2 linked regions of the Stegostoma tigrinum genome follow. The protein of the gene in region 1 purifies or fractionates together with the protein of each later gene. This does not show direct contact. Links are inferred from orthologs where the notes say so. Each region holds a gene or a part of one and is shown in the gene's direction. Other genes may lie near its edges. The genes, in order: mitogen-activated protein kinase 4-like; FAST kinase domain-containing protein 5, mitochondrial.

Region 1 (16,480 bases):
GTACAGTGTATGATACTGGCCACCGTGTGTAAGTATGTTAATATGTTGGAAGCAGGTCAAGAAGGTTTGCTAAGCTAATACCTACAATAAGCGATTGCCTAATGAGGAAATGCTAGACAGGCTAGGCCTGAGCCCTCTGGCGTTCAGAAGAGTCGGAAGTGACTTAATTGAAACATATAAGACCCTGAGAGGACTTGACCTGGTGGCTGTGGAAAGAATGTTTCCTCTTATGAGACAGCCGAGAACTAGGGGTTATAGTTTGAAAATGAGGAATTACCCATTTAAGACAGAGATGATGGAAAAATAACTCTCTTAAATTGTATGTTTTTATTTGGAATTCCGTTCCTGCAGAATCTTTAAACACATTTCAGGCAGAATTGTTTAGATTCTTGATTACTAACGGGATGGAAGATTATAAGGGATATGCAGGAATGTAGGGTTGAGGTTAGAATCAGATCAGTCATTCAGCTTACTGAATTGCAGAGCAGGCTTGATTCATTGAGTGGCCTACACTTGCTCCTTGCTCCTATGTTTGTATGTTATATTATTGGCTACATTATTTAGATAGATTGATAGCCTGGGAGGCAGGAATCTTCACAATTTTTAAGAAATATGTAGATGAGCACTTGAAATCTCAAAACATCCAAGACCAGGGCCAAGTGCTGAAATGTGGGATTAGTGTAGATAGGCCGGAGATGTATGGATGGGCTGAAGGGCCTCTTCTGTGCTATATGACTCAATGACTTGATTATCCAGTGAATAGGAATTCAGAATTTGTGTCCTATCAGGGCCAATGTCTAGACTTCATTGCTAGTTCTTGTGAGGAGTAAATTGGCTGACCATAGATAATGGGGAACCACGATTTCAAAAGCAAAACATGCAGAAATAGCAGATGCTTGTAACCTGGTAGGAAAATACCCAAATCAGAACACATCAGGGTTAATTTAAGCAGGACTTCCCTTGACAACATTTTTCTTTATCCACTCATGGGATGTGGGCACTATTAACTGGCCAGCACTTATTACCAATCCCTAATAGGAGTCAAACACATTGCTATGGGTCTGGAGTCACATGTAGGTTGGATCAAGTGAGAAAATCAGTTTCCTTCCTAAAAGATATTAGTGAAGCCAATGGGTTTTTACAATTGACAACAGTCATCATTAGACTTCAACTTTCAGAATTTTATTAAATTCAAATCCAACTTGACATTTAAACTTGCGTCTCCAAAATGTTTCTTGGGCCTTTGTATTATTAGTCCAGCAACAAAACTATTCAGGCATTAACTCTCCTATTAATCCCTTTAGGGGAGGTGATGATAGAATAATAATATCACCGGTCTAGTAATCCAGCACCTCTAATATTATGGGGCAAAGGTGCAAATCCTAGCATTGCAAATAGTGTAACTTGAAATCAATAAAGATCTGGAATGAAAAGATTAGACTAACCACCCCACTGTTGGTTGTTGTAAAAACCTATCTAGTTTACCATTTCCCTTTAGGAAAGGAAATCAGTCATCCTTACCCGGTCTGTCCTACATGAGACTCCACACACATGACAATGACCGTTCACTGCCTACCCTTGGACTCTAACTGTTGGACCATGTTGCCACAGCCCATGAACAAATTAAGAAAGGAAACAACAAAATGTAATACGTAAATTCTTCTTGGTAAATATATAACTCATCTGGCATGACAAATTATGAGGCACTTAAATTTAATTTGCTCTTTTAAATTTCCCAGAGTTTAAAGGTATGATATTTGGATTTCTGCTGGTGTTAGCAGCCTGACATACTTTGCTTGTGACTGTCTTCTTGTTTCTTTTATTTATTCCTCAGAATGTGCGTTGTGGCAAGAAAAGTGTCATTTCCCATCTCTAAGTGTCTTTTAGTAGGTGATAGTGAGCCAACAGCATGCACACTGCTCTCATCTGTGAACCTAGAAAAATGAGGGTTGATTCTTTAATAACAGAAAGCAAAGTTCATTGAACTCAAAACATTAATTCTGTTTCTATCTCCACAGATGCTGCCAGACCTGTTGAGTCTCTCCAGCAATTTTTGATTTTATTTAAACTAATATAATCTGTTATCTTCATTGGTAAGCAATAAATGACTTCTTACTACTTACGTTAATGCTTCTGCAGCCAACTGGGGAAGGATGGCCCATAGTGAGTAATGCAATAAGAATTGACTGCCGCATATTTATTCAAAGGAGATCCTAGAAGAACCAGTTACAAACATCACCTACAACAACTATACACAGAGAAATTAGAAATAACTAACAGGACTTTTTGGTTTATTAAGATTTGATTTCATTTTCAGCAAGACAGCAAGCATTGTTAACATTTTGCTTACCTCTTTAATAATGCACCACATGGAATTTGTGTATATTACCATCAATATTGCTTTTATATTGACTAAAGCTCAGTGCATTGCACACTGCTGTAAGTATAGCTTATCCAAGTCAACAATGCAAGCTGTGGTTTTCTTAAAATCTTGTCTCAAGAATCTTGCAGTGATAATTGCTACTTCAATTCCAACCGTAGGAAAATGCTATGACTGCTGACTTTGAATCAGGAGGTATTGTTGCACAGTGTAGCATGGTGAACATGGAAGAAAGAAGCAATGATTGACGTGAAGACTAAATCTATACTTATTTATTATGCCTGTACCAATGTTACTGAAGTGGATATGGTCAAGAGCTTCAATTTCCTTGGAGTAAATATCACCAACAACCTATCCTGGTCATTCACGTCAATGCTACAGTAAAGAAAGAACACCGATGCCTCTACTTCCTCAGAAGGTTAAGGGCATTCAGCATGTTCACAATGACTCTGACCAATTTCTATTAATGCACCATAGAAAGCATCCTATCCATAAGACTGTGAGAAATTATAAAAAGTTGTAAACACAGCCCAGTCTACCACAAAAACCAGCCTTTCTCCCATTGACTCTGTCTACACTTTCCACTGCCTCGGGAAAGCAGCCGACAAAATCAAAGACCCTTCCCACCCCAGCTATACTCTCTTCCACCGTCTTCCATTGAGCAGAACATACAAAAGTTTGAAAACATGTACCAACAGATATAAGAACAGCTTTTCCCCCGCTGTTGTCAGACTTATGGACAAACATCTCATATGTTAAAGTTGATCTTTCTCTGCATCCTTCTCTCTAGCTGTAACACTATGTTCTGCAATCTGTTCTATTACCCTGATACATAGAAACCATTGAAACATAGAAACCTACAGCACAGGAACAGGCCCTTCGGCCCTCCAAGTCTGTGCTGATCAAGATCCTCTGTCTAACCTGTCATCTATTTTCTAACGGTCTGTGTCCATTTGCTCCCTGTCCATCCATGTACCTGTCCAAATATATCTTAAATGACGCTAACGTGTCTGTGTCTACCACCTCTGCTGGCAACGCGTTCCAGGCACCCACCACCCTCTGTGTAAAGAACTTTCCACGCATATCTCCCTTAAACTTTACTCCTCTCACTTTGAACTCATGACCCCTAGTAATTGAGTTCCCCGCTCTGGGAAAAAGCTTTTTGCTATCCACCCTGTCTATACCCCTCAGGATTTTGTAGACCTCAATCAGGTCCCCCCCTCAATCTCGATCCTTCTAATGAAAATAATCCTAAGCTACTCAACCTCTCTTCATAGTTAGCACCCTCCATACCAGGCAACATCCTGGTGAACCTCCTCTGCACCCTCTCCAAAGCATCCACATCCTTTTGGTAATATGGCGACCAGAACTGCACACAATACTCCAAATGTGGCCGAAACAAAGTCCTATACAACTACAACATGCCCTGTCAACTCTTGTACTCAATACCCTGCCCAATGAAGGAAAGCAAGCCATATGCCTTTTTGACCACTTCATTGACCTGCGTTGTCATCTTCAGCGAACAATGGACCTGAACACCCAGATCTCTCTGTTCATCAATTTTCCCTAGGACTTTTCTATTTACTGTATAGTTCGCCCTTGAATTTGATCTTCCAAAATGCATCACCTCGCATTTGCCCGGATTGAACTCCATCTGCCATTTATCTGCCCAACTCTCCAGTCTATCTATATTCTGCTGTAATCTCTGACAGTCCCCTTCACTATCAGCTACTCCACCAATCTTAGTGTCATCAGCAAACTTGCTGATCAGACCACTTACACCTTCCTCCAGATCATTTACATATATCACAAACAACAGTGGTTCCAGCACAGATCCCCGTGGAACACCACTGGTCACAGGTCTCCAATTTGAGAAACTCCCTTCTATACTATCCTCTGTCTCCTGTTGCCCAGCCAGTTTTTTTATCCATCTAGCTAGCATTTATGTAAGGTATGATTTGTCTGGATAACACACAAAGCAATACTTTTCACTATATCTGAGTACATCTGACAATAATAAATCAAGTCAAATCAAAAAACTAGGCAGATAGTTGATAAAAAGTAGAATGTAAGGATATGGGAGCAGAGCAGGCACATGTATTAGGACTACAGCTTCTGTCAAGGATAAGAAGCAGCTGGGCAATGCTGGACCTACTGATTTTAGGATAACCAAGTCTGCATGTAGCCTAACCAGCTGTCCTTGAAAAGGTATTTGAATATGTCACCAAAGATATACAATTTTGGCAGTGGGACAGAACCGAACTTGTGCTTTACTATGGGGCTGCTTGGTGTCATGCAGCAGAATCATAGAACACAGAACAGCTCAGCACAGTACAGACCCTTTGGCCCATGATGTTGTACCAAGCGTTTACCCTAATCTTATGGTCTATCTAACCTCCACCCCTACCTTATACTATCATCCATATGCCTATCTAATAGCCGCTTAAATGTCCCAAATGAGGCTGACTCCACTAACTGTTCCGGCAAGGCATTCCACGTCCCTACCATTCCCTGAGTAAAGAATCTACCTCTGATATCTCCCCTATATCTACCTTCACTCACTTTAAAACTATGCCCCCTCATAAAAGCTTCCTTCACCTTAGGGAAAAGTCTCTGACTGTCTACTCTATCTATACGTCTGATCATTTTGTACACCTCTGTCAAGTCATCTCTCATCCTTCATCGTTCTATAGAGAAAATCCCTAGTGCTCTCAACCTTTCCTTGTAAGACCTTCCCTCCATTCCAGGCAACATGCTGGTAAATCTCCTCTGCACCTTTTCCAATGCTTCCACATCTTTCCTGTAATGAGGCGACCAGAACTGGACACAACACTCCAGATGTGGCTGAACCAGGCTTTTGTATAGCTGGAGCATAACATCATGGCTCTTGAACTCAATCCCTCTAATAATGAAAGCTAACACACCGTATGCCTTCTTAACAACTCTATCCACCTGGGTGACAGCTTTCAGGGAACTGTGGACATGAACCCCAAGATCCCTCTGCTCCTCCACACTGCCAAGAATCTTTCCATTGGCCCTGTATTCTGCTTTCAATTTTTTCCATCCAAAATGAATCACTTCACACTTTCCAGGGTTAAACCCCTTCTGCCACTTCTCAGCCCAGCTCTGCATCCTATCAATGTCCCTTTGAAACCTAGAACTGCCCTCTGCACTGTTCACAACCTGACCCACCTCCGTACTGCCCGTGAACTTACTAATCCACTCTTCCACTCCTTCATGCAAATAATTTACAAAAATCACAAATAGAAGAGGACCCAGTACAGATCCTTGAGGTACGCCACTCGTAACTGAGCATCATGTTGAATATTTTCCGTCCACTACCACCCTTTGTCTTCTAAGGGTCAGCCAATTCTGAATCCAATCTACCACATTTCCCCCGATCCCATGGCTCCTTACCTTCTGCATGAGCCTAAAATGGGGAGCTTTATCAAAAGCCTTACTTAAATCCATGTATACCACATTTACTGCTCTACTTTCATCCACATGTTTGGTCACCTCTTCAAAGAATTCAACGAGGTTTGTGAGACATGATCTACCCCTCTCAAATCCTTGCTGACTATCACGAATCAAACTGTGCCTTTAAAGTGATCATAAATCCTATCTCTCAGAGCCGTTTCCAATAATTTTCCCACCACTGATATAAGAGTTACGGGCCTGTAATTTCCAGGGTTATCCTTATTCCCTTTTTTGGACAAAGGAATGATGTTTGCCTCTCTCCAGTCTTCCAGCACTATACCCATGGACAGTGAGGACGAAAAGATCATCGCTAAAGGCCCTGCAATTTCTTCTGTCCCTTCCCGTAGAATCCTTGGATAAGTTCCATCAGGCCCAGGGGACTTATCTATCTTCAAGTTCCTCAAAATTCCTAGTACATCTTCCTTATTAACAGTGACCTCCTCTAGCCTACCAGCCTGTTTCACACTGTCCTCCTCTACAACTAGGTCCCTCTCAGTTGTGAATGCCGATGAGAACTATTCATTAAGGACCTCTCCTATCACTTTTGGCTTTGTGCACAAATTCCCTTTACAATCCTTGGTCAGCCCTACCCTTTCTCTGGTCATTCTCTTACTCCTCATGCACATGTAAAAAGTATTGGAGTTTTCTTTGATCCTGTCTGCCAAGGTTTTCTCATTCCCCCTTATAGGTCTCCTAAGGCCCTTCTCCAACTCCATCCTGGATAACTTGTATCCCTCTACAGCATTTTCTGTTCCTTGTTTCCTCAACCTTACATAAGCATCCTTCTTCCTCTTAACCAGATGTTCGACCTCCCTTGAGAACCAAGGCTCCCTCACTCGACCGCATCTTCCCTCCTTGCTAGGGACAAACATATCGAGCATATGCAGTATGCATTCCTTCAACAATCTCCACATTTCAATAGTGCTTTTCAATAGTGGTCTTCCCTGATAATCAAAAACGTAATGATTTTTTAAAAGTGCTTGTGGCCCAAATTTGATCAGACCTTGTCTATGCGTAGAGGAAATGGCCTCCTGTTATTATTGCTAGACTATGAATCCTGAGACCCAGGTAATTGTCTGAGGACATGGTTTCAAATCTGGCCTGGCAGATGGTGGAATTTGAATCAATACAAATCTGAAATTAAGAGTCTAATGATGACAATGGAACTGTTGTTGATTGCCAGATAACCCCATCTGCTTCACTAGTGCTGTTGAGTGAAGTTACTGCTGTCTTTACCTGTGACCACAGATCCATGCCTAGTGGCTGGCTCCTGACTGCCTTCTGGACAAAATCTACCAGCAATGCTCTCATCCCATGAATGAATTAAAAGAAGGTATAGGAACCCAAGCCTCCTGGCTCAGGAGTAAGGACACTATCACTATACCACAAGACCCTTCTTCACCAATTTATCATGTCAAAAAAACTAGCGGAGACACATGCAAGGTAAAATTAGACTTCATCAGAAGTCGGAAGTTGATTACCTATTATACACCTCACAACTTTCCATTCCACTGAAGTTCAAATGAAGGAAGACTATAGTTTTATAACCTCAAAATCACATAAATACTAGCCACCAAATATTCATTTCAACTGCATGCTAATCATATGTAAGAAGAAAATGTCAGTCTATGTCTCTTTTTCAGGCATTACAGATATACATACTGAACTACATGAACTCTTGAACTAGGCCAGATGTTCCAAAATGGCCTTATTGCTTTGCAATGTAAATTAGGGGCTTGAATTTCCAAAGGGCATCTTTAATCATGTGTCATTACTTTACCAGAAAACCCAGCAAAGTGGTGTAAACTGCCTATGTTTTTCCGAAATCTCTTTCTGAAAGTAGTATTTTGACATTGTAGCTAAATGGACTTTTCCTCTGTTTTTAATTTAAAATATTTTAAAAACATTTTCCAGGATGTCATTACATATCACTGGAGCAGGTGGGACTTGGACCTAGGCCTCCTGACTCAGAGGCGAGGACACTACCACTGTGTCATAACGACCCCACCCTCCGCCCCAATAACCTGCTGTTTTTACTTTTTAATATTTGACTACAGCCAGAACTAGTGGGTAATGGGTTAATTTTGTATAAATTAAGGCTTTTCAAAGCGAAGGTCTTAGTCGTGTTGGCACTGATGTCGTTTGCTTGTGCAAGTTATGAAGCTGTGAACAATGAGAAACCCCCAAGTGGGAATTAACTGGAATGAGCACATTCACTGACAAGCATTTTAGGTCATCAGTAGAGATTATTTTCATTCAATCTTAACAAACAGGTATTCTGGTTTAATTAAATTATGACAAGTATATTGTCTATGCATTCTTCTAAGGATAGGTTCAAATCTGGATGCTTCTAACATGGTCAGCTTAATTGTATGGCAAAACTGGACTCATTATCTCAAGGCATGTGCAGTGTCTTTCAGGCTGAAGTATATGGATTATGGATTTGACAGTTATTGGAAAAAGACAGTCAATATTTTTTAAGTCTGAGTAAGGTTAGCTTCAAAGAATCAAGCTGTAGTAAATGGTCTTCTGTCATAGGATCCATGCCTAAAAAGAAAGTAAGTTACATCTTTGTTGTTTTCATACACTGAGAAGTCTAGGGAATTGATGTTCATATTGTGAAAACTGTTTGTTCATGTCCTTTTTATAGATAACCAGTTATTCAAAGTCTGAAACCTCAGTTTCCATACCATACTTATTGAGTCAGCCCTCCGTAGGAGAATGTAAGCAATGATACATCTGTTCCTCACATTCAAATATGATGAGACCATGAAAGAACAAAAATTAAAGTATACTTCAGCCATGTTTGGGTGGAGGAAATGTTCTCCCTGATGGTTCTTTGGTCACGCCATTTCCTTACTAGATAACTGGATAGAAAAAGAGACATTCCAGACCTAAATCCATTTGCAGGAGCCAACGAGTGAATCTGGGGTAACAGGTAAAAGTGACAGATGTTTCGGCGGGATAAAAGTCAGAATAAATACCATTATAGCATTATTATCTCGACATTAAAAACAAGTAATATCTCTCAGTTTTTTTCATTTATTCACTGATGTGATTTTCTGATTTTTTCTCATTACACTTTGTGGAAAATGCATTACTAGTGTCCATGCTTAGGTGAATTAATTGAAGGCAGATCTAGGATGAATTCTGAGCCCTTGTAGGAAGGAAATTGTTGTGATCTTCTAGGACAACCTGTGGAAAGATATGGCCAGATGGATCACTTTTTAAAAATATGTTTTTTCTGGTCTGGACGGTTTCGCCTACTGATTGAATAACCTCATTGAACCGTGACAAGAGACTTCTTTTGTTAGTTTACTTCCCCACACTGAACTGCATAGGGTCCATTTAGCACCTTGCCACAAGCCTGCAATTATCCATTGCCAGCAGTTGTTGATCAGAACCATATGAAATATGGCGCTGGAAGAGTTCTTACCAGGTACTTCAGCTGGTACCTCTCTAGGTCCATCTGCCTCAAATACTTGATAAGGAGGGGGCACAAATTTGAAACAATTAGGGAAAGAATTATAGCATACTTTAGAGGGAGAATGTGCAGAGGGTGGTTTGAGTGTAAAATTTTGTGTCAAAATTATTGAAGCAGAGAGGACAAACTTTTAAAATATAGAATTGGCTACGAGCCTTAACAAGAATGCGAGGGAGGTATGGAGTGGGTGAACTGGGTTTTGCTTTACCGCTCAATTTTTGTTGCATTTCCCCCCGTGGCTCAGTGCGGCAAAACATATATTGTGCATCAGCAGAGAAAGTAACTCTCCATAGTTGGTTGCAGACCTGCTGAGATTTTCCAGCGCTTTCTGCTTTTATTTCAGGTCTCCAGCATCTGCAGTACTTTACGTTTATTTGCAGCTATGTCTGCTCCTGCCTGTCGATGGATGTCATGCTATAGACCTTTGCACATCAGGTGGTTCCTGTCTTCTTTTTCTCAGGAGCAAGAAATGCCGGCGACAAATGCAGCCTGCTCGCTCCTGGGTGAACCACCAGGTAGCTGCAGTGTGATTGACAGCGCCTGGTGACGTCGTGCCGTGGCGCTGTTTCGGGCCGGCTTCATTTTTCTCCCCTGCAGAGAAAGGGGACTGAGACCGGGCAGATCCCCGCTCGGAAACAAACCCAGTCTCGGTCTCTAGCTCGGCAGCGAGCCGCCTCCTGCCCTGGCAAATGCCAAATCCACAGCAGATCCAGCGCCGCCACAGCGACGGCGTTGTTTTAATGGTAAGTTTCATTTCCTGTTACACGCTGGAGAATGAATTACCAACATCTCGCCGTGTTCTTTCTTCAAAGACATGTTCCCGGAGCCTTTTCAGTTGACAAGGAGCGACGCTGTGTGTTGGTTGCAGAATATGCTGTGTAATGCAATTTTGCTAAAAAAATACAGATGCATTAGAAGCAGGAAAGGAAACGACAGGATCGCTCCTGCTTAATGGGAGGGATGGAGTGGAACGTGTCTTTGCTCCACACTTAAGTCTTTGTCTTCGCTTAATTACTGAACATGTTCCGGTTGGTACCTGTGTCTGTACGGAATTGCTCGGCTTTTGAGTGTATCACGCAAACTGGAAGATAGATCGATGCAGGTGCCGTAAGTTCCGCAGTCTTTGTGTATGCGTTTGTATGTGGGTCTTTTGCCTGGGCAGTTAGTACATTTCGTCAACAAATCGGCTGCATTTGCTGGCAAGTTTCGCAGGTACGGTTATAGCTGAGGGGACATGGTTACTGCCATTTCATAATTGGTCATCTACTCTGGTGCTGATCTCAAACTGCTGTTAACCTGCAACACCTAGCCATCTCCGTGTAACGTACAGGATGGTACGTTATGAACTAACTTTGTATGTGTGAACAAATAGATCTAGAACAATGGAGCATGACAACACAATATATTCTTCTGTACGGGAAGATTGCCTGTTTTTTAAGGGGGAGGAGACTGAAGGTTGGAGACAGTGGAGCTGGAAGCAGGTGCTTAATGAAGGAATTTACTGAAGGACATTAGGACATAACTGAGGTGGAGAGAGCTTGCCCTGAAAGGTAATAGTTACGTTCACTGAACGTTAGGTGATTCCCTGACGCTGGGATGCTGACTAGCTCATCATACCCACAACAGTGAGACATCAAATAGGAAATTGAGAAGAAACTTCCTTTCCTAGAGAATGTGAAATTTGCATTTGTGGACACTTTCAAGAATTATGCGCATGACGGAGAAGCGAATAAGACCGCTCTGCTGCTGGGGTTGGACGAGGAATGATGTAAAGTGGATCGAGTGGAGCATAAATACTGATATAGACTGGTTTGGCAAAATGACGTGTTTCTGTGCTGCGTACTCAGTGTAATTCAATGCAGGTTCTTGTCAGTGAGATATACAGTAGAGAGTGGCGCTGGATGTTGAAAAGCAGGACTGACAGCCTCTGCGGAGAGAGAAATAGCCTTAACACAGTGACTACCGAATCAAAAACCATAAGAATGAACCTCGAATGGGTCTGATGAAAGCTCATCGATCTGATGAAAACTCATCGATCTGAAACATTAACTCCATATCTTTCCAATGACCCGCTGCGTCTTGCTTTCTTTTGGTGAAGCGAAGAACAAATAAAGTTCAGAGGGCCACTGGACCCGAAACGTTAACGCTGATTTTTTTCTTCACAGATGCTGCCAGACCTGTTGAGCTTTTCCAGCAACTTTTGTTCCTGGTATACAGCATCCGCAGTTCTTTCGGTTTTTAACAAATAAAGTTAGTTTCTTTATCACTGTGCGTTGAGCACGAACAGGTATGGTTGGAAGATCGAGATGATTTGATGTACAGGGAGCACCAGTTTTTGCACTTACCTTTTCTAGCCTTGCAAAGCAGGTGTTATAGTACTGTATTCTGAAAGTTACTTCCTGTTAACTAAAGTGGCTTTTAAGAATACCATGACTTCTCATTAGTTTTTGCTTTGTAATTGTTCTCATGTTCCTGTTATTCTTTGTATAAAAATTAGCCAACATGTGATAGAGTACCAGTCTTACTATGTAACATAGGTAACTGAAATCAACTTAATTTAGCTGCATTTGCCACATCATTGACAAATATCTTTATCTTCTCGTTGTTCTCTGGTATAGATGGGTGTTACTAGCTGGGTCAGAATTTGTTGACTGCCCCCAAGTGCCCAGGAGAAGGTGATGGTGAGCTGCCTTCCTGAACTGCTGTAGACCCATAATACTGTTAGGGAAGGAATTCCAGAATTGTAACCTAGTGACTGTGAGAAACGGCAGTATATTTCCAAACGAGGATTGGTGGTGAGTGGCTTGGAAGGAAACTTGCAGGTGGTGGTTTTGCCATGTATCTGCTGCCCTTGTCCTTCTAGATAGAAGTGGTTGTGAGTTTGGAAGATGCTGTCGAAGAATATTTGGTGAAGTTCTGCAGTGCATCTTGTAGATAGCACACACTGCTGCTACTGAGCTTCGGTGGTGGAGGGAGTGGATGCTTGTGCATATGGTGCCAATCAAGTGGGCCGCTTTGTCCTGGATTGTATTGAGCTCATTGAGTGAAACTGCACTAATCCAGGCAAGTGGGGAGTGTTGATCACATTCCTGATTTGTGCCCTGTAGATGGTGGACAGGCTTTGTGGAGTCAGGAGCTGAGTTACGCGCTACAGTATTTCTAGTTTCTGACTTGCTGTTGTAGCCACTGTAGTTGTATGGTGACCTCAGCTGAGTTTCTGGTCAATGGTAACCCCCCCGGATGTTGATAGTGGGGGATTCAGTGATGGTTACCCCATCTTAAAGTCACACATCTGAACTCTAGATTGAATTGTTCGTGTAATTTGTTGTGGACCTGTTGAGAACAGTATTTTGATATTTTGTTGGAGGGGTCGGAAAGTTCTTGAAGTTGAGGCTAAATGAGCTCCTCACCTTGAGAAATAATCATTGACTGCAGGTTGATGCAGTGGCATTTTGTGGTTTGCCTGAGGAATTTGAGTTCAAATCCACAATTCAGAACTTCTCATTTGTCGTTAATTGAAATTAAATTGTGAATTTCACAATTGCTGGTTAGGACATGGAAAAATATCACCCTGCTGTGGCGGGAGTGCTCAATTGATTAGGGCTAAAACATATTATCAAGGCTTCACATAGGGAGCTTTAGTCTACAGCTAACTGTGTAGCAGCTGAACTGAATCTTAATTGATTCAGACAGTGGATGTCTGAAACAGGAAGCGTTCAACTTCCATGAATGAACCTAAGTATGATGAACACAAAATATAAAAGGTTTAATGACTGTGACCCAATTATTTTGAGTTTATCTCATGATAAACTGTTATTTACCAGAAAGTGACTGATGATCAGTGTTTTTCAACAAAGTAAATGAGTTGAACTATTCATAAGAGTTAAAATCCATAAGTGAGCCTTGAATAGTGTGTTTACCATCACAACACAATGATTGAATTACATCCTCAAATTCACTGAGACACACTGTCATTGTAATTGAATGCCATACCAGTGTGGGGTGATCCTTTTCCTGACATGGCGTTGAAAATAAAAGGCATGTCACGTGATGTGGAACAAAGAAAATTGCTGATTATCTGATTTAGGATCAGCAGTAATATGGGATTTGTGAATTACAACCCAAAGACTTGTCAGATTATTTTTAAAACTGGATTCGATGAGGATGGTGGCAGTGTTATTCTTCTGTTCTGCTGATTGTTTTGATCAATGACAAATTTTGTAGTCCTTCACTTAAAGCATTATTCAGTACTCCAACAGGGGCTAGAAATATTCATTATAGATAGGTGTCTGGTAGTCTGGTGTTTGAATGGAATGTTGTAATACAGTTAAGTTTACCTCAGGATTGTCTTGCTTTCTGATTTATTTTCCCTATTTATGGGAATCGACCCTACCTCTCCTTTCCACATTCACGAAATGCACCGAGATCAGCACCTCAAAATGTAATTTCTTTCTTTGTCAGTCTTCAGTTTCATGGAATGATGCTTCGTAACTTGATAGTTCCCTCTGTGTTAAGCATTACCTCCTGTAGCTTAGGAGCCTTATGCCGGTGTGGCAGTCTTTGCCACATTTAGCAGATGAATACATGGGCTGAGAAGGTGCAGGATTGCTAACCTATGTTTTCTCTTGGTTCAGTTCTCATCCAATTGTGCTTTTCTGTTTCGCCTCACAACTTCCAATCCCCATTCAGGCAGTCAGCATGCAGAGGTCATTGCCAACAATGTCTGTCTCCCAGTCGTGTTTATCCCCCCATTTTCATATTGTTATGATCCCAGCTAACTGTAATACTGGGCAAATCAGATGCCAGAATGAAACCTGGCAAGAAGTTGGTTTGAAGTATGTCTACTTCAACACCAGGAGCATGCGGAATAAGGTGGGTGAACTTGCAGCATGGGTTAGTACGTGGGACTTCGATGCTGTGGACATTTCGGAGACATGGATAGAGCAGGGACAGGAATGGTTGTTTCAGGTTCCGGGATTTAGATGTTTCAATAAGAACAGAGAAGATGGTAAAAGGGGCGGAGGTGTGGCATTGTTGGTCAAGGACAGTATTACAGTTGCAGAAAGGATATTTGGGGACTCATCAACTGAGGTAGTATGGGCTAAGGTTAGAAACAGGAAAGGAGAGGCCACCCTGTTGGGAGTTTTCTATAGGCCTCCGAATAGTTCCAGATATGTAGAAGAAAGGATAGCAAAGATGATTCTTGATAGGAGTGAGAGAGACAGGGTAGTTGTCATGGGGGACTTCAACTTTCCAAATATTGACTGGGAGCACTATAGTTCGAGTACTATAGATGGGTCAGTTTTTGTCCAGTGTGTGCAGGAGGGCTTCCTGACACAGTATGTAGACAGGCCAACAAGGGGTGAAGCCACATTAGATTTGGTACTGGGTAATGAGCCTGGCCAGGTGAGCACTTTGGTGATAGCAATCACAGTTCTGTTATGTTTACTTTACTGATGGAAAGGGATAGGTGTATACCACTGGGCAAGAGTTATAGCTGGGGGAAAGGCAATTACGATGAGATTAGGCAAGATTTAGGGAGCATAGGATGGGGAAGGAAACTGCAGGGGAAGGAAACTGCAGGGGATGGGCACATTAGAAATGTGGAGCTTATTCAAGGAAAAGCTCCTGTGTGCCCTAGAAAAGTATGTACCTGTCAGGCAGGGAGAAAGCTGTAGAGTGCGGGAGCCATGGTTTACGAAGGAAGTGGAATCTCTGGTCAAGAGGAAGAAGAAGGCTTATGTTAGGAAGAGATGTGAAGGCTCAGTTAGGGTGCTTGAGGATTACAAGGTAGCCAGGAAAGACCTAAAGAGAGAGCTTAGAAGAGCCAGGAGGAGACATGAGAAGTTGTTGGCGGATAGGACCAGGGTAAACCCAAAGGTTTTCTATAGGTATTTAAGGAATAAAAGAATGACGAAAGTAAGATTAGGCCCAATCAAGGATAGTCGTGGGAAGTTGTGTGTGGAGTCAGAGGAGATAGGGGAAGCACTAAGTGAATATTTTTCGACAGTATTCACTCTAGAAAACGACAATGTTGTCGAGGAGAATACTGAGATACAGGCTACGAGACGAGGTGGGATTGAGATTCACAAGGAAGAGGTATTAGAAATCCTACAGAGTGTGAAGATAGATAAGTCCCCTGGGCCGGATGGGATTTATCCTAGGATCCTCTGAGAAGCCAGGGAGGAGATTGCCGAGCCTTTGGCATTGATCTTTAACTCGTCATTGTCTATAGGAATAGTGCCAGATGACTGGAGGATAGCAAATGTGGTTCCCCTGTTCAAGAAGGGGAGTAGAGACAACTCTGCTAATTATAGACCAGTGAGCCTTACTTCACTTGTTGGTAAACTGTTGGAAAAGGTTATAAGAGATAGGATTTGTAATAATCTAGAAAAGAATAAATTGATTAGGGATAGTCAGCACAGTTTTGTGAAGAGTAGGTCGTGCCTCACAAACCTCATTGAGTTCTTTGAGAAGGTGACCAAACAGGTAGATGAGAGTAAACCAGTTGATGTGGTATACATGGATTTTAGCAAGGCATTCGATAAGGTTCCCCACAGTAGGCTATTGTACAAAATGCGGAGGAATGGGATTGTGGGAGATATAGCAGTTTGGATCAGAAATTGGCTTTCTGAAAGAAGACAGAGGGTGGTGGTTGATGGGAAATGTTCATCCTGGAGAACAGTTACTAGTGGTGTACCACAAGGGTCGGTGTTGGGTCCACTGCTGTTTGTCATTTTTATAAATGACCTGGATGAGGGGGTAGAAGGATAGGTTAGTAAATTTGCAGACGACACTAAGGTCGGTGCAGTTGTGGATAGTGATGAAGGATGCTGTAGGTTGCAGAGAGACATAGATAAACTGCAAAGCTGGGCTGAGAAGTGGCAAATGGAGTTTAATGTGGAAAAGTGTGAGGTGATGCACTTTGGTAGGAGTAACCGGAATGCAAAGTACTGGGCTAATGGTAAGATTCTTAGTAGTGTAGATGAGCAGAGAGATCTCGGTGTCCATGTACACAGATCCTTGCAAGTTGCCACCCAGGTTGACAGGGCTGTTAAGAAGGCATACAGTGTTTTAGCTTTTATTAATAGAGGGATTGAGTTCCAGAACCAAGAGGTTATGCTGCAGCTGTACAAAAC
Region 2 (16,722 bases), about 12 Mb from region 1:
TGATAAATGCTGAATATGTTAGCATCAATCAAGTTTTTATTCTGACAAACGAAAGACACAATTTACTCTATGGATGTAAAACTCTACCAAAACCGAAGGAAAAATGGACTTGTAACTATGACACACCAGCACCCTCTAGTGCCACATTCTCAGTCATGGTACATAAAATTCTAATAAAGGCAACATTTACACTGCATACAGGTACAGTCTGAGGCAGAACCAGAAAGAGGAAAAAGAGCTTTCAAAATAAATACAAATCAACAATGTCCTTCTTTGCAGCTTTGCACTTTTTCTTTATGACTGCTGGGTTGCCCTGTTTTAGAACACTTACATTTAATAATGATTAGAAAACTGAGAAAACTGCAGATGTTGGAAATCAGAAACGCAAACAGAAACTGCTGGAAAAACCCAGCAGGGCTGATAGTATCTGTGGAGAAAAAAAATCACAGTTAACACTTCAGATCCAGAGAACATTCTGAGCCAGAAATGGTTCAGGTCTTGTATTTCTGGACAGCCCTCAGATCATCCTTGATGGGAGATGGATGTCTGAAGGGATTGCACACCCATGGTAAAGAGGAAATAACTGAAACCCGGAAAGTGGAAATTCTGAAACTGATGTACAGTATCAGAGGATTTGTGGATGTAAGTGGGAAGGGACTGTACAAGGGAAGAAAAAAAAACAAGGCGAGGCAGGAAGAGGTGAGTACTATAGGACAGGAACAGGCAGAAACAATAGGTCTGCTGGTCAGTCCTGTTTGAGGATTTTGGGGCGGAGGTAGAAGCTAGCTGTGCAGGTTTGGGAGACTGCTGTGTGTTTGTGTGTGTTGGGGGTGGGGGGCACCAGATAACATGAAGCTAGTGATTGTAGTGGACACAATGGCCTGATGTTCCATACTGGGCTCATGGCCCAGGGAGGATAGGATGAGGTACCTCAGAGCAGGACCTCAGCCTCTGCAACGTAGAGGTCAGTCTGCCAAACAACACATCATCACCCTTATCAAAAGGCTTAATTACAAAGGTAGGGTTGGATCTGAGAGCTTGGATGGCAGTCAGTTCACAGGGAGATAGGTTGGAATGGGTGAAGGGGGTAGAGAAATTGAAGCGACCAATGTCATGTTGATCGTTCCTGTGAACAGGTCGAGTGCAGGTAAATAGCTGGAAGGAGGAGTCCGGGTGGAAGAACAGTGTTGAAGGTGGGCAAAGGGGTCTGTGGGATGGGGAAAGGACTCTTGTCCAAAGAAATGGGCTTGGAGGCGAAGGTGAGGGAAGATGAGTTCTACATCACATCATGCCTGAAATTCATTAAGGTGGGGACCCAAAGGGATAAAACTGAGCAAACAATAATGATTGTTGCAGTCTGAATCTGGTCAGAAGTGTCCACATGGCATTAGCTTCCTTCCACTTGAAAGTAGAGATATTTGGGTTTGGGGATGTAATGCTTCTTAACAACTACTTACCAATGTCCATTAGAACCTGTATTCATATAGTATTTTTTACATTGCTCCAGAGCATTTTTCAGCCATTTATGTGCTTTTGAAATGCAGCCACTATTGTAATGGAAGAAATGCAGCAGAAACCATGACACAGCAAGCTCCAACAAACAAGTGTTGCAGTTACTAAACACTCTTTTTCCAGTGATACAAATTGGGAGATCTTTTACATCCACCCAAAAAACCACACAGCCTCCAGTTTAAAATCTCACCCACAAAATGGACATTATAGCACAACTTTAATACTGCATTGGAGCATCAGGTGGGGCTTCAGATTCAAGTCTCTGAAATTACTTAGAGATCAGAATCTTCTTCTCACATGCAGAACTTTACAAGATGATTAATAGTTGATACTCCTTTACAAAGGAAAGATGGTGCAGGACGGTGGGTATAAGACTCCTAGAACACTGGTATCAAACTGGGGGCAGTTTGGGGCTTTTATAAGTCAGAAAATAGCATCTCAAAAGAGCTAGGACCAGTATAGTTTTACTTGTACTTTTGGCAACTATTTAAACTACTTAGTTCAATCAATCAGATCAATTTCTCAGGGGGATGAGAACCACAGTGTAGGAGAAAGGAGAAACAAGGTGTGTAAAGGATTTTCAGAGACGTGTAGTACTAGATTAAGAAATAGCAAGGTAGTCAGAAGTGTTAGAGTTAGTAGAAATAAGGCCTAAATTATATAGACAGTTTTTCTTTATTCATTCGTGGGATACGAGCATCACTGATAAGGCCAGCATTTACAGCCCATCCGTATTGCATTTGAGGTGGTGTCAATGAAGTGCTGTGGCCTGATCAGAAGATTCTGTCCGTTAAAGCTCCCAAGCCTGCTTCCCAGAGGGCTCTGGTGCAGCGGTAGTGTCCCTAACCCTGAATCATAGGGTCTGGGTTCAAGTCCCACCTGCTCCATTGGCACATCATAATATCTGAACAAGTTAATTTTTTTTCAAAGTTTCATTCCATAATGTTGTGAAGCATTAAAGGAAATTAGGTATGTATCTTGGACTACAAAATATTGACTGTAATTCTGGTTATTCGTAGTCTTACTATGGATGAGAGCTTCAACTGAGCAATATCAGACCTGTCATCTATTGTACACCTCGGCTGATATTTACTTCCATTTAAATCAATATTACTGTCACTTCTGAAGGGTCTCTGGATCCGAAACGTTAACTCTCTTTTCTCTCCACAGTCAAAACTGCTGAGCTTCTCCTGCAAGTCCAGTCTTTATTACTGTCACTGCGTCAGCTCTTTGAAATCACTAAAGTCCCTGTTGCCACATTTCTAGCTGTCCTGATAATCTCTTTTCGGTAATTATCACTTGTTTGTGACTGACGCTGTCCTTTATTTCATAGTTCTGCCTGGTGCCCCTATTTTCATTGCAGCTACAGCTTCAATAGCCTCATGGCTTATCTAGCTCTGGGTTCTTCTCAGAATCAGTGCTAGCTGGTAGTGCTATGATATGACTATGCTATCCATGCTGCACAATAATTTAAATGAGACTGTACTCATGTATCCATGGTGCCTTACATGACCTCAGGGCAACTCAAAAGTATTGACAGCCAATGATAAGCTTTTAAAGTGGAACCGCTTTGAACATATTCAATGATGAATTCACAATTCACTGATAAAGAATTCCTAAGATTGACAACCCTTTCAGTGAAGATTTTTTCCTCATCTCAGTATCAAATGATTAGTTCCTTAGCCTAAAACTGCATCCCCATATTCTAGATTCCAGAGTCAGGGCAAGAACCCCACCTTTGTAAATTTGAGAATATAGGGCTAATATCTAAGGTTTTGGAGTAGATCTGTAGCTCAGGTTGTGGGTGTTGAGGTTGGAGGCTCCACGAAGCAGGCTATTAATAAACACATTGAACTCGACCCCACATACATTCCACTATGGAGGAAACCCGGAAGTGAGGCAGTCCATCGCAACGGACACCAGAGTTTAAAAACCAGGTGGGAGAACACGCTGACGCTTCATCAGAAGTTGCACTGAGGATGCTACCCAGCACAGGAACAAAACGTCTGCCGAATAACAGACCAGTTCGGTGAGCCAACCAACCTCAATAGGCCTAATATACTCAACATTTCCTCATTGCTCAACCCTGTCATCCTTAGATCTTGAGTTCAAAACTGCACACAACACACAGATAACAAAGTGTGGAGCTGGATGAACACAGCAGGCCAAGCAGCATCTCAGCAGCACAAAAGCTGACGTTTCGGGCCTAGACCCTTCACAATGCACAGGTGTGGTGTCACTTTGTGTAGTACCGTACAGTTTTGGCAAGACTTCCCTTGGGATTTGCCTTCCTAATTGCTTGTTGTAACTACATGCTGACTCTCTGCAGTCACTGTACAAGTACACACAAGTTCCTTTGGACATCAACATTTAGAAATTTTGTGCTTTAAAAGAGTTCTGCTTTTCTAGTCTTTCGTCCAAAGTAAACAATCACACACTTCCCTACATTATACACTATCTGCCTCCATTTTGTACATTCACTGAATCTGCTGATGTCTCTTCAATTCCTTATCATTTACATTCTGCTGGCTTGATTCCAATCAAAACCTTCCATTCATTTTGCCCACTCAGCTCTCTCTTTTTCTTTGAACTTGCTTAAAAACTGTAATAACTTAGCGCTGTTGAAAGTTTATTGATGAGATTATCATCTCCCATCAAGGTGCGAATCAGACTGCAGATTGCTGAATTTAATACTGAACAATATTCCTCTGCCTTTCTGACCCTGCACCATTTCTGTATGGCCATTTCTTAGGTTGAGAATACCTTAGGTGTAAAAATCCACAAGCAACTCTCTGAGCTTGAGACTCCTATTGTAAGGACCACATGGAAGATGTATGGTGATTGGTAGAAGGATTAGAGGGAACCTTACGAAAAGCTTTTTCAATCAGACAGTTTTGGAATTCCATGCCTGGGTTGGTGGCTGGGGAAGAAACCCGCAATAGACTGGGATTATACTCATTGGAACTCAGAAGAATGAGGGGAGATCTTATAGAAATGTATAAGATTATGAAGGGAATAGATAAGGTGGAGGCAGGGAGGTTGTTTCCACGAGCAGGTAAAACTAGGACTAGAGAGCATCGCCTCAAAATAAAGGGAAGCAGATGTAGGACTGAGGTCAGGAGGAACTTCTTCACCCAAAGGGTTGTGAATCTGTGGAATTGCCTGCCCAGTGAAGCGGTTGAAGCTACCTCGCTGATGTTTTTAAGGCAAGGCCAGATAAATTTTTAAACAGTAAAGGAATTAAGGCTGATGGTGAGTGGGCGGGTAAGTGGAGCCGAGTCTCAAAAAGATCAGCCACGATCTTATTAAATGGCGGGGCAGACTCGAGGGGCCAGATGGCCTACTCCTGCTCCTAGTTCTTATCTTGTGTTAAATTATCTAAGAGGAACATTGATCTGCATGCAAAGCTGGTTAGATCACATGGAATAAAGGGAGAACTAGCCATTTGGATAAGAACTAGCTCAAAGGTAGATGACAGAGGGTGGTGAAGGAGGGTTGTTTTTCAGATTGAAGGCCTGCGACCAGCGATGTCCACAAGAATCAGTGCTCGGCCCACTCCTCTTCATTATTTATATAAATGATTTGGGTGTGAGCACTGGAGGTATGGTTAGTAAGTTCGCAGATGTCACCAAAATTGGCAGTGTTGTGGACAGCGAAGAAGATTCCCTCAGAGTACGACAGGAGCTTAATCAGATGGGCCAATAGGCTGAGGAGTGGCAGATGGGAGTATAACTCAGATAAATGTGAGGTGCTGCATTTTGGTAAGATAAATCAGGGCAGGACTTATATATTTATTGTGAAGGTCCTGGGGAGTGTTGCTGAACAAAGAGACCTTGAAGTGCGGGTTCATAGTTCTTTGAAAGGAGAATCTCAGGTAGATAGTATCGTGAAGAAGGTGTTTGGTAGGCTTGCTTTTATTGATCAGTGCATTGATTAAAGGACGTCATGTTGGAGCTGTACAGGACATGGGTTAGGACACTTTTGGAATTCTGCTTGAAATTCTGGTTTCCCTGCTACAGGAAGGACGCTGTGAAACTTGACAGGGTTCTGAAAAGTTCTGCAAGAATTTTACCAGGGGTGGAGCGTTTGAGCTACAGAGAGTGGCTGAGTAGACTAGGGCTATTTTACCTGTAGTGTTGGAGGCTGAGAGGTGACCTTTTCGAGGTTTATAAAATCATGATGGGCATGGATAAGGTGAATAGCCAAGATCTTTTCTCGAGATGGCAGAGTCCAAAACTAGAGGACATAGGTTTAAGGTGAAAGGGGAAAGATTTAAAAGGGACCAACGGGGCAACGTTTTCAAGCAGAAGGTGGTGCATGTATTCAATGAGCTGCCAGAGGAAGGGGTGGAGACTGGTACAATTACAAAATTTAAAAGGTATCTGGATGGCCACATGAATAGGAAGAGTTTAGAGGAATATAGGCCAAATGCAGGCAAGTAGGACTAGATTAATTTAGGATATCTGGTCCACATCGACGAGTTGGACCAAAAGGTCTGTTTCCTTGCTGTACATCTCTATTTGCTGTAATAAATAGACTGAACATTATATTTATGTTAAAAAGCAAAACATACAGTTATTGTTGAAAGAACAAAAGACATTTTTCCTCATCTCCTTTTCCCTTTCCCATCCTTGAAATTGGTATTTGGATCGCTCAGCGATTTTGTAGGCGCTCTCTTTGACCTGAGATAATGGGAACTGCAAAGCCTCTTCCAGGGATGCCTAACCTGAAGAAGTTACCCTCCTCCCTCCGGACCAACCTCAGGGAATCTCGCTCCCACTGCACATCCATGATCTCATCACCTCAGGTGACCTCCCACCCAAAGCCTCCAACCTCATTGTTCCCCAACACCCACCACCCGTTTCTATCTCCTTCCCAAAATCCACAAACCCACCTGCCCTGGTCGACCCATTGTCTCCGCCTGCTCCTGCTCCACTGAAGTCGTCTCCACCTATCTGGACTCCATTTTCTCCCCCTTGGTCCAGGAACTCCCTACCTATATCCATGACACTACCCACACCCTCCACCTCCTCCAAAACTTCCAATTCCCCTATCCCCAACACCTCATTTTCACCATGGACGTCCAGTCCCTATGCACCTGTATTCCGCATGCAGATGGCCTTAAGGCCTTCCGCTTCTTCCTGTCCAGCAGGCCAGACCAGTCCTCCTCCACCGACACCCTCATCCGCCTAGTCGAACACTCAACAACTTCTCTTTCAATTCCTCCCACTTCCTACAGACAAAGGGGTGGCCATGGGAACGCGCATGGGCCCAAGCTATGCCTGCCTCTGTGTAGGTTACGTGGAACAGTCCCTCTGCCGCACCTACATTGGCCCCAAACCCCATCTCTTCCTCCGTTACGTTGATGACTGTATCGGCGCCGCCTCTTGCTCCCAAGAGGAGCTCGAACAGTTCATCCACTTCAACACCTTCCACCCCAACCTCAAGTTCACCTGGGCCATCTCCAACACATCCCTCACCTTCCTGGACCTCTCAGTCTCCATCTCAGGCAACCAGATGGAAACTGATGAAGGGTCTAGGCCCGAAACGTCTGCTTTTGTGCTCCTGAGATGCTGCTTGGCCTGCTGTGTTCATCCAGCTTCACACTTTGTTATCTTAAGATGGAAACGGATGTCCACTTCAAGCCCGACTCCCACAGCTACCTAGAATACACCTCCTCCCACCCCGTCCCCTGCAAAAATTCCATACCCTATTCCCAATTCCTTCGCCTCCGCCGCATCTGCTCCCAGAATGAGGCATTCCACTCCCGTACATCCCAGATGTCCACGTTCTTCAAGGACTGCAACTTTCCCCCCGCAGTGGTCCAGAATGCCCTTGACAGTGTCTCCCGCATTTCCCGCAACACCTCCCTCACACCCCACCCCCGCCACAACCGCCCTAAAAGAATACCCCCTCGTCCTCACATACCACCCCACCAACCTCCTGTACAACGCGTCATCCTCTGACACTTCCGCCATCTACAATCCGACCCCACCACCCAAGACATTTTTCCATCCCCACCCGTCCTCCTTCCGGAGAGACCACTCTCTCCATGAGTCCCTTGTCCGCTCCACACTCCCCTCCAACCCCACCACACCTGGCACCTTCCCCTGCAACCGCAGGAAGTGCTACACTTGCCCCCACACCTCCTCTCTCACCCCCATCCCAGGCCCCAAGATGACTTTCCATATTAAGCACATGTTTACCTGCACATCTGCCAATGTGGTATACTGTATCCGCTGTGGCTTCCTCTATATTGGGGAAACCAAGCGGAGGCTTGGGGACCCCTTTGCAGAACACCTCCGCTCGGTTCGCAATAAACAACTGCACCTCCCAGTCGCAAACCATTTCCACTCCCCCTCCTATTCTTTAGATGACATGTCCATCATGGGCCTCCTGCAGTGCCACAATGATGCCATCTGAGGGTTGCAGAAACAGCAACTCACATTCCACTTGGGAACCCTGCAGCCCAATGATATCAATGTGGATAATAAAATGTGAGGCTGGATGAACACAGCAGGCCAAGCAGCATCTCAGGAGCACAAAAGCTGACGTTTCGGGCCTAGACCCTTCATCAGAGAGGGGGATGGGGAGAGGGAACTGGAATAAATAGGGAGAGAGGGGGAGGCGGACCGAAGATGGAGAGTAAAGAAGATAGGTGGAGAGGGTGTAGGTGGGGAGGTAGGGAGGGAATAGGTCAGTCCAGGGAAGACGGACAGGTCAAGGAGGTGGGATGAGGTTAGTAGGTAGCTGGGGGTGCGGCTTGGGGTGGGAGGAAGGGATGGGTGAGAGGAAGAACCGGTTAGGGAGGCAGAGACAGGTTGGACTGGTTTTGGGATGCAGTGGGTGGGGGGGAAGAGCTGGGCTGGTTGTGTGGTGCAGTGGGGGGAGGGGACGAATTGGGCTGGTTTAGGGATGCAGTAGGGGAAGGGGAGATTTTGAAACTGGTGAAGTCCACATTGACACCATCAGGCTGCAGGGTTCCCAAGCAGAATATGAGTTGCTGTTCCTGCAACCTTCGGGTGGCATCATTGTGGCACTGCAGGAGGCCCACTGCACCACACAACCAGCCCAGCTCTTCCCCCCCCACCCACTGCATCCCAAAACCAGTCCAACCTGTCTCTGCCTCCCTAACCGGTTCTTCCTCTCACCCATCCCTTCCTCCCACCCCAAGCCGCACCCCCAGCTACCTACTAACCTCATCCCACCTCCTTGACCTGTCCGTCTTCCCTGGACTGACCTATCCCCTCCCTACCTCCCCACCTACACCCTCTCCACCTATCTTCTTTACTCTCCATCTTCGGTCCGCCTCCCCCTCTCTCCCTATTTATTCCAGTTCCCTCCCCCCATCCCCCTCTCTGATGAAGGGTCTAGGCCCGAAACGTCAGCTTTTGTGCTCCTGAGATGCTGCTTGGCCTGCTGTGTTCATCCAGCCTCACATTTTATTATCCACATTGATATGAGTTGCTGTTCCTGCAACCTTCGGGTGGCATCATTGTGGCAGTTCCTGCACTGCCACAATGATGCCACCCGAAGGTTGCAGGAACAGCAACTCATATTCCGCCTGGGAACCCTGCAGCCATATGGTATCAATGTGGACTTCACCAGTTTCAAAATCTCCCCTTCCCCTACTGCATCCCTAAACAAGCCCAGTGCATCCCCTCCCCCCACTGCACCACACAACCAGCCCAGCTCTTCCCCCCCCCCACCCACTGCATCCCAAAACCAGTCCAACCTGTCTCTGCCTCCCTAACCGGTTCTTCCTCTCACCCATCCCTTCCTCCCACCCCAAGCCGCACCCCCAGCTACCTACTAACCTCATCCCACCTCCTTGACCTGTCCGTCTTCCCTGGACTGACCTATCCCCTCCCTACCTCCCCACCTACACCCTCTCCACCTATCTTCTTTACTCTCCATCTTCGGTCCGCCTCCCCCTCTCTCCCTATTTATTCCAGTTCCCTCCCCCCATCCCCCTCTCTGATGAAGGGTCTAGGCCCGAAACGTCAGCTTTTGTGCTCCTGAGATGCTGCTTGGCCTGCTGTGTTCATCCAGCCTCACATTTTATTATCTTGGAATCTCCAGCATCTGCAGTTCCCATTATCTCTGATATCAATGTGGACTTCACCAGCTTCAAAATCTCCCCTTCCCCCACCGCATCCCAAAACCAGCCCAGTTCATCCCCTCCCCCCACTGCACCACACAACCAGCCCAGCTCTTCCCCCCCACCCACTGCATCCCAAAACCAGTCCAACCTGTCTCTGCCTCCCCAACCGGTTCTTCCTCTCACCCATCCCTTCCTCCCACCCCAAGCCGCACTCCCAGCTACCTACTAACCTCATCCCACCTCCTTGACCTGTCCGTCTTCCCTGGACTGACCTATCCCCTCCCTACCTCCCCACCTACACTCTCTCCACCTATCTTCTTTACTCTCCATCTTCGGTCCGCCTCCCCCTCTCTCCCTATTTATTCCAGTTCCCTCTCCCCATCCCCCTCTCTGATGAAGGGTCTAGGCCCGAAACGTCAGCTTTTGTGCTCCTGAGACGCTGCTGGGCCTGCTGTGTTCATCCAGCCTCACGTTTTGTTATCTTTGACCTTGCGGCTCTTCCATTTGCCACATCCAGCCCTGGACATAGAGTGGGGCCCTTCAACGGGAGCTCAAGACAGGAGGAGCGGTCAGAGCCTCTCAAGGATGAGGGCCGAGAAGGCTGTATTAACCGAGTATGGATCCGGCCGGTGGATCCCGATCACTTGGTGCCCGCATCAGGATCTCTTCAGCAGAAAACGGCACCGAAAACGGAGATAGGAGCTCTGCGCATGTCCCACTGTGGCAGCCGTGCGCATGTGTAGAAGGTATTGTCGGATTGAGGCGTCCGCGCGCATGTGCGGAAAGCGCTGTCTGATTGGCCCAGTTGTGCGCATGTGCGGGAGGCGCAGGCTAATTGGATAGCCATGCATTTGCGCAGCGGGTGTAGTCTGCTCTGAGTATGGAGGGAGGCCTAGTGCAGTCATTAATAGGTGTGCTGGCCGACGTCTCCAGTTAATTACTCCAGAGCCGCACAGAATTCTCTCCCTGAAATATTTAACCATTTTGTTTTGCTTTCACCCATATTTTTTCAACTCATGATCATCCCTAGTCCTGCCTCGTCCACAACGCCAGGGGTATTGGCAGCAAACTCTCCTGATTAAGCCACCGCCTTGAAGGAGGTGGAGCCAGCCTTTCTGTTCCTAATCACCTGGCTGGATATTTAGGGGAAGGTAAGAACTGTATGACACACAGCATATTTGAATAGTGTATGAGTGACTAGCTGGTCAGATATCCAGTTCACCCAGAAACGTGCGGTTATACGGTATGTGGGTGATATGGATCAAGACAGAATTTGTGAATAATTCCAAGTTTCTGTTGAAAAGCTGTTGATGGAAATTGACAGCCACGTTCTTATGACAAGAGAGTTGCAGTGGGAGAGAGATTCCCTGAGATTGGTCCCAAGGGAGGAGGGTAACCTCTTCAGGTTAGTCATCCCTGGAAGAGGCTTCTCAGCTCAGGGAATCTGTCCCACTGCAACTCTCTTGTCCTACCTACTAACCTCATCCCACCTCCTTGACCTGTCCGTCCTCCCTGGACTGACCTGTCCCCTCACTACCTCCCCACCCATACTCTCCTCTCCACCTATCTTCTCCTCTATCTATCTTCGGTCCGCCTCCCCCCTTTCCCTATTTATTTCAGAATCCTCTCCCCATCCCCCTCTCTGATGAAGGGTCTAGGCCCGAAATATCAGCTTTTGTGCTCCTGAGATGCTGCCTGGCCTGCTGTGTTCATCCAGCTTCACACTTTGTTATCTTGCCTTCCTAACTGCTTGCTGCACCTGCCGTTCTGCTTTCATTGACTGATGTACAAGGGTGCCCAGATCTCTCTACATTCTCGCACTTCCCAATGTAGTATCATTTAATAATACGCTTAGTTTCTGTTTTACACATATGAGCATACAACTTCAAATTTAGCCACTGTGCTATATCTGCCTTATGTTTGCAGATCATGGAAACCTTACAGTATGGAAGCTGGCCATTCAGCCCATTGAATCCAAACCAACCCTCCAAAGAGCATCACATGCAAAGCTACCACTGCCCTAGTCCTGAACTCCTGCATTTCCCATGGCTGATCCACTTAGCATGCACATTCCTGTATGCTATAGGCAATTTAGCATGGCCAGTCCACCTAACGTGCACATCTTTGGTCTGTCGGAAGAAACTGGAGCACTGGCAGGAAACCCCCACAGACACAGGGAGAATGTGCAAACTGTACCGCAATTGGTGTACCGCAAGGTACTTGTTGGTGTTGGGTCCACTGCTGTTTGTCATTTTTATAAATGACCTGGATGAGGGTGTAGAAGGGTGTTAGTAAATTTGCAGACGACACTAAGGTCGGTGGAGTTGTGGATAGTGACGAAGGATGCTGTAGGTTGCAGAGAGACATAGATAAGCTGCAGAGCTGGGCTGAGAGGTGGCAAATGGAGTTTAATGCAGACAAGTGTGAGGTGATGCACCTCGGTAGGAGTAACCGGAAGGCGAAGTACTCGGCTAATGGTAAGATTCTTAGTAGTGTAGATGAGCAGAGAGATCTCGGTGTCCGTGTACACAGATACTTGAAAGTTGCCACCCAGGTTGACAGGGCTGTTAAGAAGGCATACAGTGTTTTAGCTTTTATTAATAGAGGGATCGAGTTCCGGAACCAAGAGGTTATGGTGAAGCTGTACAAAACTCTGGTGCAGCCGCACTTGGAGTATTGTGTACAGTTCTGGTCACCGCATTATAAGAAGGATGTGGAAGCTTTGGAAAGGGTGCAGAGGAGATTTACTAGGATGTTGCCTGGTATGGAGGGAAGGTCTTACGAGGAAAGGCTGAGGGACTTGAGGCTGTTTTCATTAGAGAGAAGAAGGTTGAGAGGTGACTTAATTGAAACATATAAAATAATCAGAGGGTTAGATAGGATGGATAGGGAGATCCTTTTTCCTAGGATGGTGACGGTGAACATGAGGGGGCATAGCTTTAAATTGAGGGGTGAAAGATATAGGACAGATGTCAGAGGTAGTTTCTTTACTCAGAGTAGTAAGGGAATGGAACGCTTTGCCTGCAACGGTAGTAGATTCGCCAACTTTAGGTACATTTAAGTCGTCATTGGATAAGCATATGGACGTACATGGAATAGTGTAGGTTAGATGGGCTTGAGATCGGTATGACACGTCGGCACAACATCGAGGGCTGAAGGGCCTTTTCTGTGCTGTAATGTTCTATGTAAATAGAACATAGAACATAGAACATAGAACAGTACAGCACAGAACAGGCGGAAGGTGGAATCTAACCTGGGTCCCTGGCTCTGTGAGGCAGCAGTGCTAACTCTGAGCCACCCACCCAATTTTTCCATGTCATCTTGAACATTCCTTGCATCTTCCTCACAAGCTTCAATCCTCCCAGTTTAGTGCCGTCAACAAACTTGAAAATATTGCATTTGATTCTGTCATCCAGGCCATTTATACATATTGTGAATAGCTGGGGTCTAAGCACTGATTCTTGTAGTATCCCACTCCTTGCCACTTGAGAATAGAACCATTTATTCCCACTCTGTTTCCTGTCTGTTAATGTATTAACCCCATCCCATGTTCTTTTTTGAAAGAAACAAAGAATGTAGATGCTGGAAAACAGAAACAAAATCAGAAATTGCTGGAAAAACCAAGCAGATCTGACAATATCTGTGGAGAGACTCTTCTTCAAAACTGGACCAAAACTTCATTGGACCCGAAACATCATTTTCTGCTTTCTTTCCACGTATCGGTTAGATCTGGGTTTTTCCAAGAATTTCTGATTTTTTTCCACGTTCTTTAATTTTGCTCACTAACTTGATTTGAACGGCCTTATCCAAAGCAATATGAAAATTCAAATACACCACATCCACTGATTTCTCCCTTATCTATTCTACTAGTTACATTCTCAAAAGCTCTGGTGGATTTGTTAAGAAAGATTTGCCCTTCATAAATCTTGCTGACTTTGGTCAATCCCGTTAGTCTTTTTAAATGTTCTGTTTTCATTTAGACTAACATTAGACTAACTGATCTTTTATTCTTTTTGTCCCCCCTCCTTTTTTAAATAATGGAGTTAAATTTGCCATCTTCCAAACTGTAGGAACTGATCCAGAGTTTATAGAATTTTGGAAGATCACCTCTAATACATCTAGTATTTCCTGGGTCACTTCCTTCAGTATTTTGGGATGTTGATTATGATGCCTTCAATGATTTGTCAGTCTTTAACCCCATTAATTTCCAAACACCATCTTCTCCCTAGTACTGATTTCCTTCAATTCCTCCTCCTCCTCACTGGATCCTTTGTCCCTAATATTTCTTGGAGGTTATTTGTGTCCTCTTCTGTGATGATAGAACCCAAGCACTGTATTTCTTCAATTCCACCATTTCTTTGTTTCCCCGTTATGATATCCTTGGCTTCTGACTGTAACGGAGCTATATTAGTTTTTTACTTCATATTTATAGAAACGCCTAGGGTCAGTTTCCATGTTCCCTGCAGTTTTACTTTCAAACTTCATCTTTTTCCCCCCATCATGATTGAACCTTTCACTGAATTCTGAAATGCTCCCAATCCTTAGGCTTGCTTTTGTATTTTTGCAAATTTTATGTCTCAACTCAGATCTAATAAAATAATAAGTAAGCTGTGGTTGAGCCACCTTTCTTCTGTTATTTTTGTGCCAGACAGAAATGAATATTTGTTATATTTCATACACACCTTCAAATATGAACCATTGCCTGTGTACCATCAACCTTGTCAGTAAGTTTCCTCAATCCATCTTTACTAATGCACATCTGCTACAGTAATCGTTCCTGAATCTGCATAAAAGGATGCTAGTTTCTGATTTGATAACTTTACTTGCCATCTTAATGAAGAATTCTACCTTATGATGGTTGTTCTTCCCCAAGGGACCCTGCATAATGTAATTTATTTGTTTTACAGTACCCAGTCTAGAATAACATGTTCTCTGGTTCCTCAATGATTTTCAGACCAATACATTCATGTATATACTCCAGGAAATCTTTGTCCACAATATCAATCAATACATAAATTAAAGTCATCCATGATTATATGATAGTGATTTATTGTTTACTTAAAATGCCGCCTCACCACCTTTACCTTCAGACTGTCTTCTCCTCAATTTGAATACCCTTCAATTTTCATTTCCCATCCTTCGTGTCCTGGAGCCATGGCTCTGTAGTTGCACCTATATCATAACTGCTTGTATGTATTCGTAATGCTTATTCCTCAACTTTTTGGTGAATTCTGTGTGCGTTAAGGCATCAAGGCTTTAGACTTGTCTTTTTAACCCTGTTTGTCTCCTTTCTAGTTTCTAACTACATATCTACTCTCTTATTAAAAAAAACTCCCAACATTGTGAGTTTACCCTTCCTATTCCTGGCTCCACCCATAATGCCTCACTGTAAAATCCCTCCGATGTGTCCTCCCTCAACGCAGCTATGATGTGATCCCTAATCAGCAATGCAACTCCCCCACCCCTTCTGTTTCCCTTTCAGTCCCATCTAAAACAGCAATATCCTGGAATGTTAAGCTGCCAGTCCTGCCCCTGCTTTAACTGTTTCTCTGAAATGGCGATGACATCACAATTCCATGCAGTAATCCATGCTCTTAGTTCATCCGTATTACCTGTCATACGTTTTGCCTTGAAGTAAATGCACTCCAGACCTCCAGTCCCTCTGAGCCCCACAACTTCCTGCTCTTACTCTGTGATACATATCTCAGTCTCTTCTTTGTCCGGAGTCCCTGCACTTACTAGCCTGTTGTTCCAGCTCCCACACCCCTGCCACACCAGTTTTAAACCCTCCTGAACATCTCTAGCAAATCTCCCACCCAGGATATTGGTACTAGCATTTAGTTGAGACTGAACCATGCTTGAAGTTCAGAGGTACTTTGGTGGACAGGTTGATTCTTTGAAATTGGAAATTTGTCACTGCTCTGAGAATGGTCAAATATACACTTTTTTCCATTGACTCTCCAGTGATACTAAATGAAGATTCAAATCTGAAAAGAAGGTTCAGAACTTTTAAAGTTTACCTGATGATCGAAGGATTTTCTCCCTATTTGTATTTACCAAGCCAAATGATAAATTCTGAGATCAACCTATTTTCAGAAAAACAATGTGAATGTCAAGCAAGAACCTGCCATAATACCCTTGTTGAACAAAATCCGTCACTGTGTGTCTTGAAAATTACAATTGCCCCAGCATCCAGATGCATTGCAATACTTTTCAAAATTATGATGTTTTGGATGTGAGTTTGCTCGCTGAGCTGGAAGGTTAGTTTTCAGACGTTTCGTCACCATTCTAGGTAACATCATCAGTGAGCCTCCGACGGAGCGCTGGTGCTATGTCCCGCTTTCTATTTATCTGGGTTGGTGATGTCATTTCCTGTTCTTTTTTCTCAGGGGATGGTAGAGCCAATCTACCCCTGAGAAAAAGAACAGGAAATGACATCACCAATGCAGGAAATGACATCACCAACCCAAGGAAACCTAACCAGATAAACAGAAAGCGGGACATAACACCAGCGCTGCTTCGGAGGCTCACTGATGATGTTACCTAGAATGGTGACGAAACGTCTGGAAACTAACCTTCCAGCTCAGCGAGCAAACTCACATCCAGAACCTGAACCTGAGCTACAAATCTTCTCAAAACTCGTTATTAAGTTTTGCCAGTCATCCAGCAGGGTGGTAGAAATGGTCACGTCGCTGGTCCAGCAACCCTGAACCCCAGCCAAATATTCTTGATGACCTGGGTTTGATTACCACCATAGCAGATGGTGATTCTGATTTCAATAAAAATTGAAATCAAAACTTAGCCGAATGGTAACCATTTAACCACTGTTGATTGTCATAAAAACAGCCCTTTAGGAAGGGAAATCTGCCGTTCATGGCCTGACTACATAAATCCCCAGATCCATGGCAATTTTAAATTCACTTATGGGACATGGCATTGCTGGCTGGCCAGCATTTATTGTCTGTCCTTATTTGCCTTTTGGAAGGTGCTGGTGAGCTGCCTTCTTGAACTGCTGCAGTCTGTATTCTGTAGATAGACCCACAATGACCTTAGGGAGGGAATTCCAGGATTTTGACTCAACAGTTAAGGACAAGATGTATTTCCAA

The links.
Region 2: the proteins of mitogen-activated protein kinase 4-like (region 1) and FAST kinase domain-containing protein 5, mitochondrial purify together in Homo sapiens (affinity purification with mass spectrometry; 3 studies listed by BioGRID and IntAct, with this or other methods). This does not show direct contact. The link is inferred for Stegostoma tigrinum from reciprocal best matches to the Homo sapiens genes MAPK4 and FASTKD5.

Annotation. Positions count from the first base shown.
Region 1 is NC_081354.1:158,281,564-158,298,043, reverse strand, and holds the start of mitogen-activated protein kinase 4-like, read left to right. Parts: upstream 1-9,811; 5' UTR 9,812-10,443; exon of another isoform or gene 10,444-10,891; intron 10,892-16,480. UniProt on the Homo sapiens protein: Atypical MAPK protein. Phosphorylates microtubule-associated protein 2 (MAP2) and MAPKAPK5.
Region 2 is NC_081354.1:169,861,988-169,878,709, forward strand, and holds the start of FAST kinase domain-containing protein 5, mitochondrial, read left to right. Parts: upstream 1-10,650; 5' UTR 10,651-10,767; intron 10,768-16,722. UniProt on the Homo sapiens protein: Plays an important role in the processing of non-canonical mitochondrial mRNA precursors.